2 linked regions of the Daphnia pulex genome follow. The protein of the gene in region 1 purifies or fractionates together with the protein of each later gene. This does not show direct contact. Links are inferred from orthologs where the notes say so. Each region holds a gene or a part of one and is shown in the gene's direction. Other genes may lie near its edges.

Region 1 (3,968 bases):
GACGGGCTCGCCTTACTGCCTTAGACGATGAGAAAACATCCATCGTGTTTACTTGGCATAAACATGTTTTCAAAGAATGATTTGAGTTTTAAGATTGTACCGATTAAGCTAGGTTAAGAAGCTTTGGAGTGCATGTAGCATTTACTCTGGTCAACCGTAAAACGCTCGAGTAAACGAAATAGAACTAAAGTGTTCAAAGTCTACACAAAATTGGATTGGAGATTTTTGAAGTAAATTTACCCAAGATTAACACAAAAGAAAACATCGAATTAACTCAGCAAAACCCAAAATAAGTCACTCGACTTTAAACAGTTTTATCCTTAGTTATTGCTGATTGGTAATATTACGGATATGACCTAAAATGGATAAGTAGTATATTTCTTTCTACTTCCGTTGAAGTAACATTAAATAATAATGCGACTGAGAAGTAAACACAAGTAAACATCAATTCGCCTTCAATGGCTTATTGTCTTATGTAAATTTGCACTAAGTGATTTTTTCAAATGTTCCATCCATTCTGATACCAAATTTTCGCTCCGTTTCCTAGCACAAATAAAATTGCAGAACGAATTCAAATAAAATTTAATATTTGAAAAATGCTGCAGATGCTGTTGTGGCATTCTAACTTGTTCTTTGGTGACGGCATAAAGACTTTGATGTGTACCTGTGCCGCACGTTGGTACTGTTACACTGCTTGTTCACTAAAATACGGCCATTCAACTCATGTATAAAAATCACCTTCAACTCAATCGTCCACTAAAAATGTTTTAAGCATCTGGTGTCTCCATAAGACTGTAAGGTCGCTATCGACTTTGGTACACTTAACAAGAAAAAAGTAATTTTTATATATTAATAAATGATAATATTATTAAATAAATGTGACGAAAAAAATTATTTTCCGTTTACAATAGCTTTTTCCCTTTAGGCTTACGGGTAGATAAGTCTTAAAAAATAATTATGAACATTTGATGATTAAATTATTCTGTTGCAATACAAATTTGCATAATCGCAAACGTTTCGAATACAAATAGTAATAATAAATAACGTGACAGACTCGACAGACTTCGTCAGGAACTTTAGATTTTTGCATTTTCGTTAGGTTAATTTTTACTGATAGTTGGCATTGCTGTTGAGGTTCATGGACGAGAATGAGAAATTGTTAGTTTGCTCACTTCTACGCTAGGAGCGCTGAAGATATGACCTGTGAGAAAAGTCCTTGGGTCCGTTGCTGAACGTCCGGATGAAAGACCTGGCCATGTTGGTGTAGTTGGCTTTGGAAGTTTGGACTCTATCTTTTTGTGAAAAAACGCTCCGGTCCACAAAAGTCGTCCTTTATTTGTCAACGAAATGGGCTCAGCAGAAGTTGATAAGCATACCCCTCCATCAGTAAGTTTATATTCATTCTTAGCAATCAAATCGTGCAATTTTAAAGTGTGTCGGTAAGACGTCGGGCAAATACTGGAATGGAGAATCTATGGATTTCCCTCGGAGTCGGCCGAAATTTTTCTAAGTTCAAAATGGCCGTCAGCGGCTAAGTCCCTTCGTCAAAAACCTCTTTCTTTGGAACGGTTGACAAGCCTTATTTTGAGGGCGGCTAACAAATAACTTTTGGTTTCAAGATCGCATGTTCGAGTTCAATTCCTCTTTCAATTTTCGTGAAAATCTGTTGAACATTTGACGTGGAATTAAATTTAAAAAGTTGAATTTCTAACCCGAAAACGCGCTGACATGGCGTCAGATTTTCAGAGTCCAAAAGATGTAGCTCAACAGATATTTTCCTACCTTTTAGTTAGAATGATGACAAATTCGTCGTAACCGAACGCTCTTGTTTACAGTACATTTCGGTAGCGACTTACAAATAATATCATTCATGAGCTTGTGTTTCATAAAAAAATTACTGTCATGGAAATCAATGACTTCCAATTCATTGGCTAATTTTATTATTTAATGATTTGATAGGGTGATGGTGCTGGAAAAGATATGTTGACTGGGTTGTCAAATGGCATGGATCGCCATAAATCCAAGGATAAGGTACAAGCAAAATACTTTTTGAACATGAGTAAGTTTAATATGGTTGAACTAACTGATATCTTATTGTTTAGGACCATCATTCTCACAAGCACAAACATAAAGATAAAGATCGTGAGAAATCTAAAGACAAAAGCCGTGATAAACACAAGGACAAGCACAAGGATAAGCATAGGGATAAGGTAGTAAAAGTTCTAAACTATTTAATTAAATATTCAATTAATTTGTTGTGATATTATTTTTAAGGATAAGCATAAAGACAAATCTAAGGACAAAGATAGAAAGCATGACAAAGAAGAACGCAGCAAGGACCGGAAGCATAGTAAAGAGGATAGAAAGGTGGAAAAAGAAGAAAAGAAGAAAGGGAAGGACAAATCCAAAGACAAAGCTGAAAAATCCCAATATGTTGAAGTTAAAAATGAACCTTTGTCTGAAGATGATGATGTACCATTGGTAAGTGTTGATAAACCTTTCCATGTTTTGACTAGTTTTAAAATTATTTGATTTTTTTTCTGCTTAAGGCTTCTCGCTCATTCAGCCAGACTTCACAGGATTCTGAGGATGATGATCAACCCTTAGCTTTTCGCCAAAAGGTTAAACCTGAGGTTAAAGCTGAAGTTAAAGCTGAAAAACCGGTGAAGAGAAAGGCCGAAGATTTGGATGATGATGATTTTTCAGCTTCTAAGAAGAAAGCTAAAAAAGTAAAAGAGGAAAAGAAGGACAAGAAAGAAAAGCCAAACAAGAAACCAGCCACTCCAAATGGTTCGCCCACCAAACGAGCCAAAAAAGAAAAAGAAGAGGAAGAAACGTGGAAATGGTATGTCTATTGTTTAAAGTAACGATTTCAAACAAAAAATGTCAAAACGGGTCCATATCGATATTTTGTGATCGATAGTTAATCGTAAGCATGGCGGCTTGTGTTTTAAGATGCCGTTTTTTTATTAGTGCAACACTTTCGAGAAATGCATTTGTTTCATCATATGTTTTAGTTAAAAATCATTTTACGTCAAATTTAGTTTTACGTTATGTATCCTTGGATATAAGATATTTACCGTGGTATTTTAACTCTTACAAATAATTCGTTATCCCATGTTATTTTTCTTTGCAACCTTCTAAAGTAACCTGTGTTCTAAAATAACGTTTGTTTTTGTTCTTTAGGTGGGAAGAAGAGAAGCATGAAGATGGAGTTAAATGGAAATCCTTAGAGCATAAGGGTCCAGTGTTTGCTACACAATATGAACCCCTGCCAGGAAATGTCAAGTTTAAGTATAATGGTCAAGAAATGAAATTGAGTACAGCTGCTGAAGAAGTTGGATCATTCTATGCTGCTATGCTGGATCATGACTATGTGACTAAAGATGTATTTAATAAGAATTTTTTCAAAGATTGGCGTAAATTTATGACTCATTCTGAGAAAGAGATTATTACTGATCTCAAAAAGTGTGATTTCACCTACATGCTTACCTATTTTAAAGGTTTGTCAAAATTTTCTGCTAGTTTCTAATTAATTTTGATGGTTGTTAATCCCATGTTTCCTTCTTTAGCTAAATCTGAAGAGAGAAAGAACAGGACCAAAGAAGAAAAACTTCAGCTGAAAACAGAAAATGAAGAAATGGTTAAGGAATATGGATGGTGTATTATTGATGGACACAAACAACGTATTGGCAATTTCAAAATTGAACCGCCGGGTAATTTATTATTTAAAGTTTTTCTCTTTTTAAAATGCTAATTCTATTGTTTGAAGGTCTCTTTCGTGGTCGTGGTGATCATCCTAAAATGGGGATGGTAAAGCGGAGGGTAATGCCAGAAGATGTCATCATTAACTGTACTAAAGGAACTGCACCTAAACCTCCTCCTGGCCATAAATGGAAAGAAGTTCGTAGTGACAATACCGTCACCTGGCTAGCTTCGTGGACAGAAAACGTCCAAGGGCAAGTGAA
Region 2 (3,933 bases), on another chromosome or scaffold:
GAAATCCCATTCTACAATTTAGTTGAAATCATTACTACCAATTTTTTATGAGGGTAAGAATCCATATGATACCTGCAATCACTCAAGTCTCCTCCATGATTCTTCACAAGTTGCTGTCCTACAGCTACCATTTCTTCAACTAATAAAAAAATATTGATAAGTTTATTTGAATTGATAATCAGGCAATTTACCCATGCTGACTGTTTCTATGGTAAGACTTTTAATATCATTGATGTGATCTCTAGGAATGACTAGAAGGTGGTTTTTAGCAGATGGTTTGATGTCATTAAAAGCCAAATATTTTACATCCTATTTATGAAAGGAAATACAGCATTAGGAAATGTATATCTTTATCTTATTAAGTACCTTATTTTAATATATCTAAGCCATTTCTTACTGTGATTTTCAGGTAATAGCTAGTCTACATTAGATTAATTGATTCCCTGGAAGAAAATAAACCTATTTGCTACAAAACGCATAATTTAATTGGTCAAAAATGAGAGAGGAAGAGCCTTAACCTGATGAACGATAGTTGCTGGCGCCAGACCTTCACAAATCTGGCAAAAAATGCATTTGATGGACTTTTGTACTGAAACCATTTTTAGGGAATTGTACTGTTTGTTTGTTTGTTTGTTTTTTTTTGAAGATAGGTGCACTGGCCGATTGTACTGTTTAGTTCAGTCATACGTAAAAATATTGACACTGACTGAGGGAATGGACTTTTCGCGTAGTCTGCAATTCTGTAAGGATGCCAAATTCCGAAAAGCAACAAGTTGTTTGTCATGATTTCGAATTCGAAGTATTCACTTAGATTCATGCAGTAGGACATAAATATCCTGTAGCATAAAAATCTTAAAAAAAATAAAAAAATATGCATATTTCCAGAGCTATAGAATCCCTGGTCGGTTCTCGGCTGTGTTGGCTTCCCTATCCCGGTTTCAGGGTAAACGTGGTCCGATTTGGAAACTGGAATGAGCGCTCTAGTGAGTGTGTCAGCTACTACGCTCAGCTACTTTTGAGAGCCTAGATGGCTCTGTTTCTAGTTTCCAATGACAGGCCCCGCCCTAAAACCCCCTGAAAATCGGACCACGTTTACCCTAAAATCGAGATGGGGAAGCCAACACGGCCGAGAACCGACCAGGTATCTATTGCTCTGATATTTCTGAAAAATCAATGGATAATATTATTATTAAAATCATAGTTGGCAACGCCCAGGTCTTTATGAACTTCATTCTGCTTTTTAGAGGGAAAAGCATGGGTTGCGTTGGGTAAACGGTCTGGCAGTTTTTTGTAACGAACCTCAGTACAATTTCGCCATTCCAGATTCGTAGTTTCAAGTTGAAATATTGCAGTTTCCCATTCGACTTGGATGATCCCATTTGTTACTGAAAATGGGAAGTCTCGCTGCAGATAGAGAGGTGTTCTTTCGAAGGATAAAGCGATTCTATTCGTCTTGGAAGGTAAGTTGGCGTCAAACAACCATGACAGTTGGATTTCATTTCATGCAATGATATAATATCTTATAGAATGAAGACTCTGAACTTGGGTTTGCTGATATGGATGCATTGGTCACAGCTTTGGGGGCGGATGAGGAAGTTGTGTACAGCAAAACATCTGCTTTACAATCATGGCTTCTTGGATATGAATTGACTGATACAGTTATGGCTCTGTGTGAAGATTCCATCTATTTCCTTGCAAGTAAGAAGAAGATAGATTTCTTACGCCCGCTGGAGGCAATTAAAGAAGAGAAAGGCTTGCCCGCTGTTAAGCTGTTGATTCGTGACAAAGTAAATCATGATACATATTTTCCATGTTAGAAACATGGAACTTCAACAAAGAAATTTTTCTATTTTTTTAGAGCGACAAAGATAAAGCCAATTTTGTGAAACTTATTGAAGCATTGAAAAAATCTAAAAAAGGAAAAAAGCTTGGAGTGTTCTCAAAAGACAGTTTTCATGGAGAGTTCATGGATGCATGGAACAATGCCATCAAGAAAGAAAAATTTGAGTAAGAAACATTAGAAAGTGTTATTAGAAATATATAGATAACAATGTGTGAAATCATATTTTCAGGACAGTTGATGTTAGTTCTGGGGCAGCTTATATGATGGCTCCTAAAGAAGAATCTGAACTGAATGTGATCAAGAAAGCATGTCAAGTATCTGTTGATTTATTCAACAAATATTTAAAAGAACAGGTTATGGAAATTGTAGATGCAGATAAAAAGGTTTGAAAAATTTATTATTTTTTTTTCAATGGGACTTAATTTGAATTTATTTGTCAAGGTCAAACATTCAAAATTAGCCGAAGGAGTGGAGAACGCAGCCACTGACAAGAAATATGTTTCTGGTGTCGATACGGGTCAAGTTGATATGTGTTATCCAGCCATAATTCAAAGTGGAGGGAATTACAGCCTGAAATTTAGTGCAGTGAGGTACATCTATCAATTAGCAAACTTTATGTGAATACATTAATGCTTCTTTTTATTTCACAGTGATGATAAACCCCTTCATTTTGGAGCAATTGTTTGTCTTTTAGGAGCACGTTACAAATCTTACTGCTCCAATATTGGTCGAACCCTTCTTGTCAACCCCACTGAAAAGATGCAGGTAAAGAAAAAGATATTTCCATAAATGAGTCTAGATTACATTCTTATGAACTTGTAGGAGACATACAACTTCTTGTTATCGGTTGAAGACGAAATTTTGAAATCTCTCGTCGAAGGAGCAAAGTTTAGCGATGTTTATAATGCTGCTGAGGCATACGTAAAGAAAGAAAAACCAGCCCTTCTTGACAAGATGACAAAAACCCTTGGCTTTGTTACCGGAATTGAATTTCGAGAAAGCTCTTTGGTGATCGGCCCGAAGAATAACGCAGTTGTCAAAAAAGGAATGGTCTTCAATGTCAATCTTGGATTTGCTGACTTGGAAAATTCTGATGGCACCGATGATCGCTATAAGAAATATGTATTTATATAAATTAATAATATTTATTTATTTATTTGTTTATTTAAATATATATTATTTTATTTTTAAAATATTAGGCTTTGTTTTTGAGCGACACTGTTATTGTATCCGATGTAAGTTATAATTTTGAACTTTTTCTTCTACTTGTTTTTTTGACGAGTAACATTATTTTTAGGGTCCAGCTACTATACTTACTGCTTCGAAAAAAAGGATTAAGAATATCGGTATATTCCTTAAAGATGAATCTGGAGAGGAAGAAGAGGAGGAGGAAGAGGACGAAGAAAAGCCATCACGACAGCCCCAGAATTTAGGTCGAGGCAAGCGGACCGCTATTCTTGATTCTAAACTTCGGGTACATAGTACTTTTCTTCTTATCATTTTCCATTGTTATAATTTATAATTTGTGTTTCTTTCAGGAAACATCTACCGAAGAAAAACGTAAGCAACATCAAAAAGAATTGGCTTCTCATCTAAATGAAGAAGCCAAACTTCGGCTTGCTCAGCAGAAGGTAAAGAAGACAAAAAGAAAATAAATGTGCAAAAGAATAACATTAAAATCTGATTTGGTTTTAGGGACGCTTGGAAGGCGATAAGATCCGGAAATCTACCGTGTCATACAAATCCGGGAAAGATTTGCCAAAAGAAGATGAAGTGAAGGAATTGAAGTTATATGTTGGTAAGCCCATAATTTCTCAAATATTTTTGAATGTGTGCTCTCAAATATGTGCTACAAAGAATGAATAATTCCACATTTAATATTGTAGATCGAAAGTACGAAACGGTCATCATGCCCATTTACGGAATTCCAGTTCCTTTTCACATTTCGACTATAAAGAACATCAGTCAAAGTGTCGAAGGAGACTATACTTACTTGCGTATAAACTTTTTCCACCCGGGTGCAACCATGGGTAGAGCTGAAACAGCTGCGTTTCCAAACCCTGAAGCCACATTCCTCAAAGAAATGTATT

The links. Proteins that work in one complex are often made in the same cells at the same time.
Region 2: the proteins of DNA topoisomerase I, mitochondrial-like (region 1) and FACT complex subunit spt16-like fractionate together in Homo sapiens (co-fractionation; 3 studies listed by BioGRID and IntAct, with this or other methods). This does not show direct contact. The link is inferred for Daphnia pulex from reciprocal best matches to the Homo sapiens genes TOP1 and SUPT16H.

Annotation. Positions count from the first base shown.
Region 1 is NC_060019.1:12,290,875-12,294,842, forward strand, and holds the start of DNA topoisomerase I, mitochondrial-like, read left to right. Parts: upstream 1-1,168; 5' UTR 1,169-1,347; coding exon 1,348-1,386; intron 1,387-1,959; coding exon 1,960-2,031; intron 2,032-2,102; coding exon 2,103-2,210; intron 2,211-2,274; coding exon 2,275-2,481; intron 2,482-2,549; coding exon 2,550-2,845; intron 2,846-3,186; coding exon 3,187-3,503; intron 3,504-3,572; coding exon 3,573-3,716; intron 3,717-3,772; coding exon 3,773-3,968. UniProt on the Homo sapiens protein: Releases the supercoiling and torsional tension of DNA introduced during the DNA replication and transcription by transiently cleaving and rejoining one strand of the DNA duplex.
Region 2 is NC_060017.1:5,830,731-5,834,663, forward strand, and holds the start of FACT complex subunit spt16-like, read left to right. Parts: upstream 1-1,133; 5' UTR 1,134-1,391; coding exon 1,392-1,460; intron 1,461-1,526; coding exon 1,527-1,787; intron 1,788-1,858; coding exon 1,859-2,007; intron 2,008-2,072; coding exon 2,073-2,226; intron 2,227-2,284; coding exon 2,285-2,433; intron 2,434-2,493; coding exon 2,494-2,608; intron 2,609-2,665; coding exon 2,666-2,965; intron 2,966-3,042; coding exon 3,043-3,078; intron 3,079-3,140; coding exon 3,141-3,317; intron 3,318-3,381; coding exon 3,382-3,474; intron 3,475-3,538; coding exon 3,539-3,641; intron 3,642-3,729; coding exon 3,730-3,928; intron 3,929-3,933. Other genes in the region: adenosine 5'-monophosphoramidase HINT3-like, read right to left, coding at 1-11, 73-139, 192-309, 519-599. UniProt on the Homo sapiens protein: Component of the FACT complex, a general chromatin factor that acts to reorganize nucleosomes. The FACT complex is involved in multiple processes that require DNA as a template such as mRNA elongation, DNA replication and DNA repair.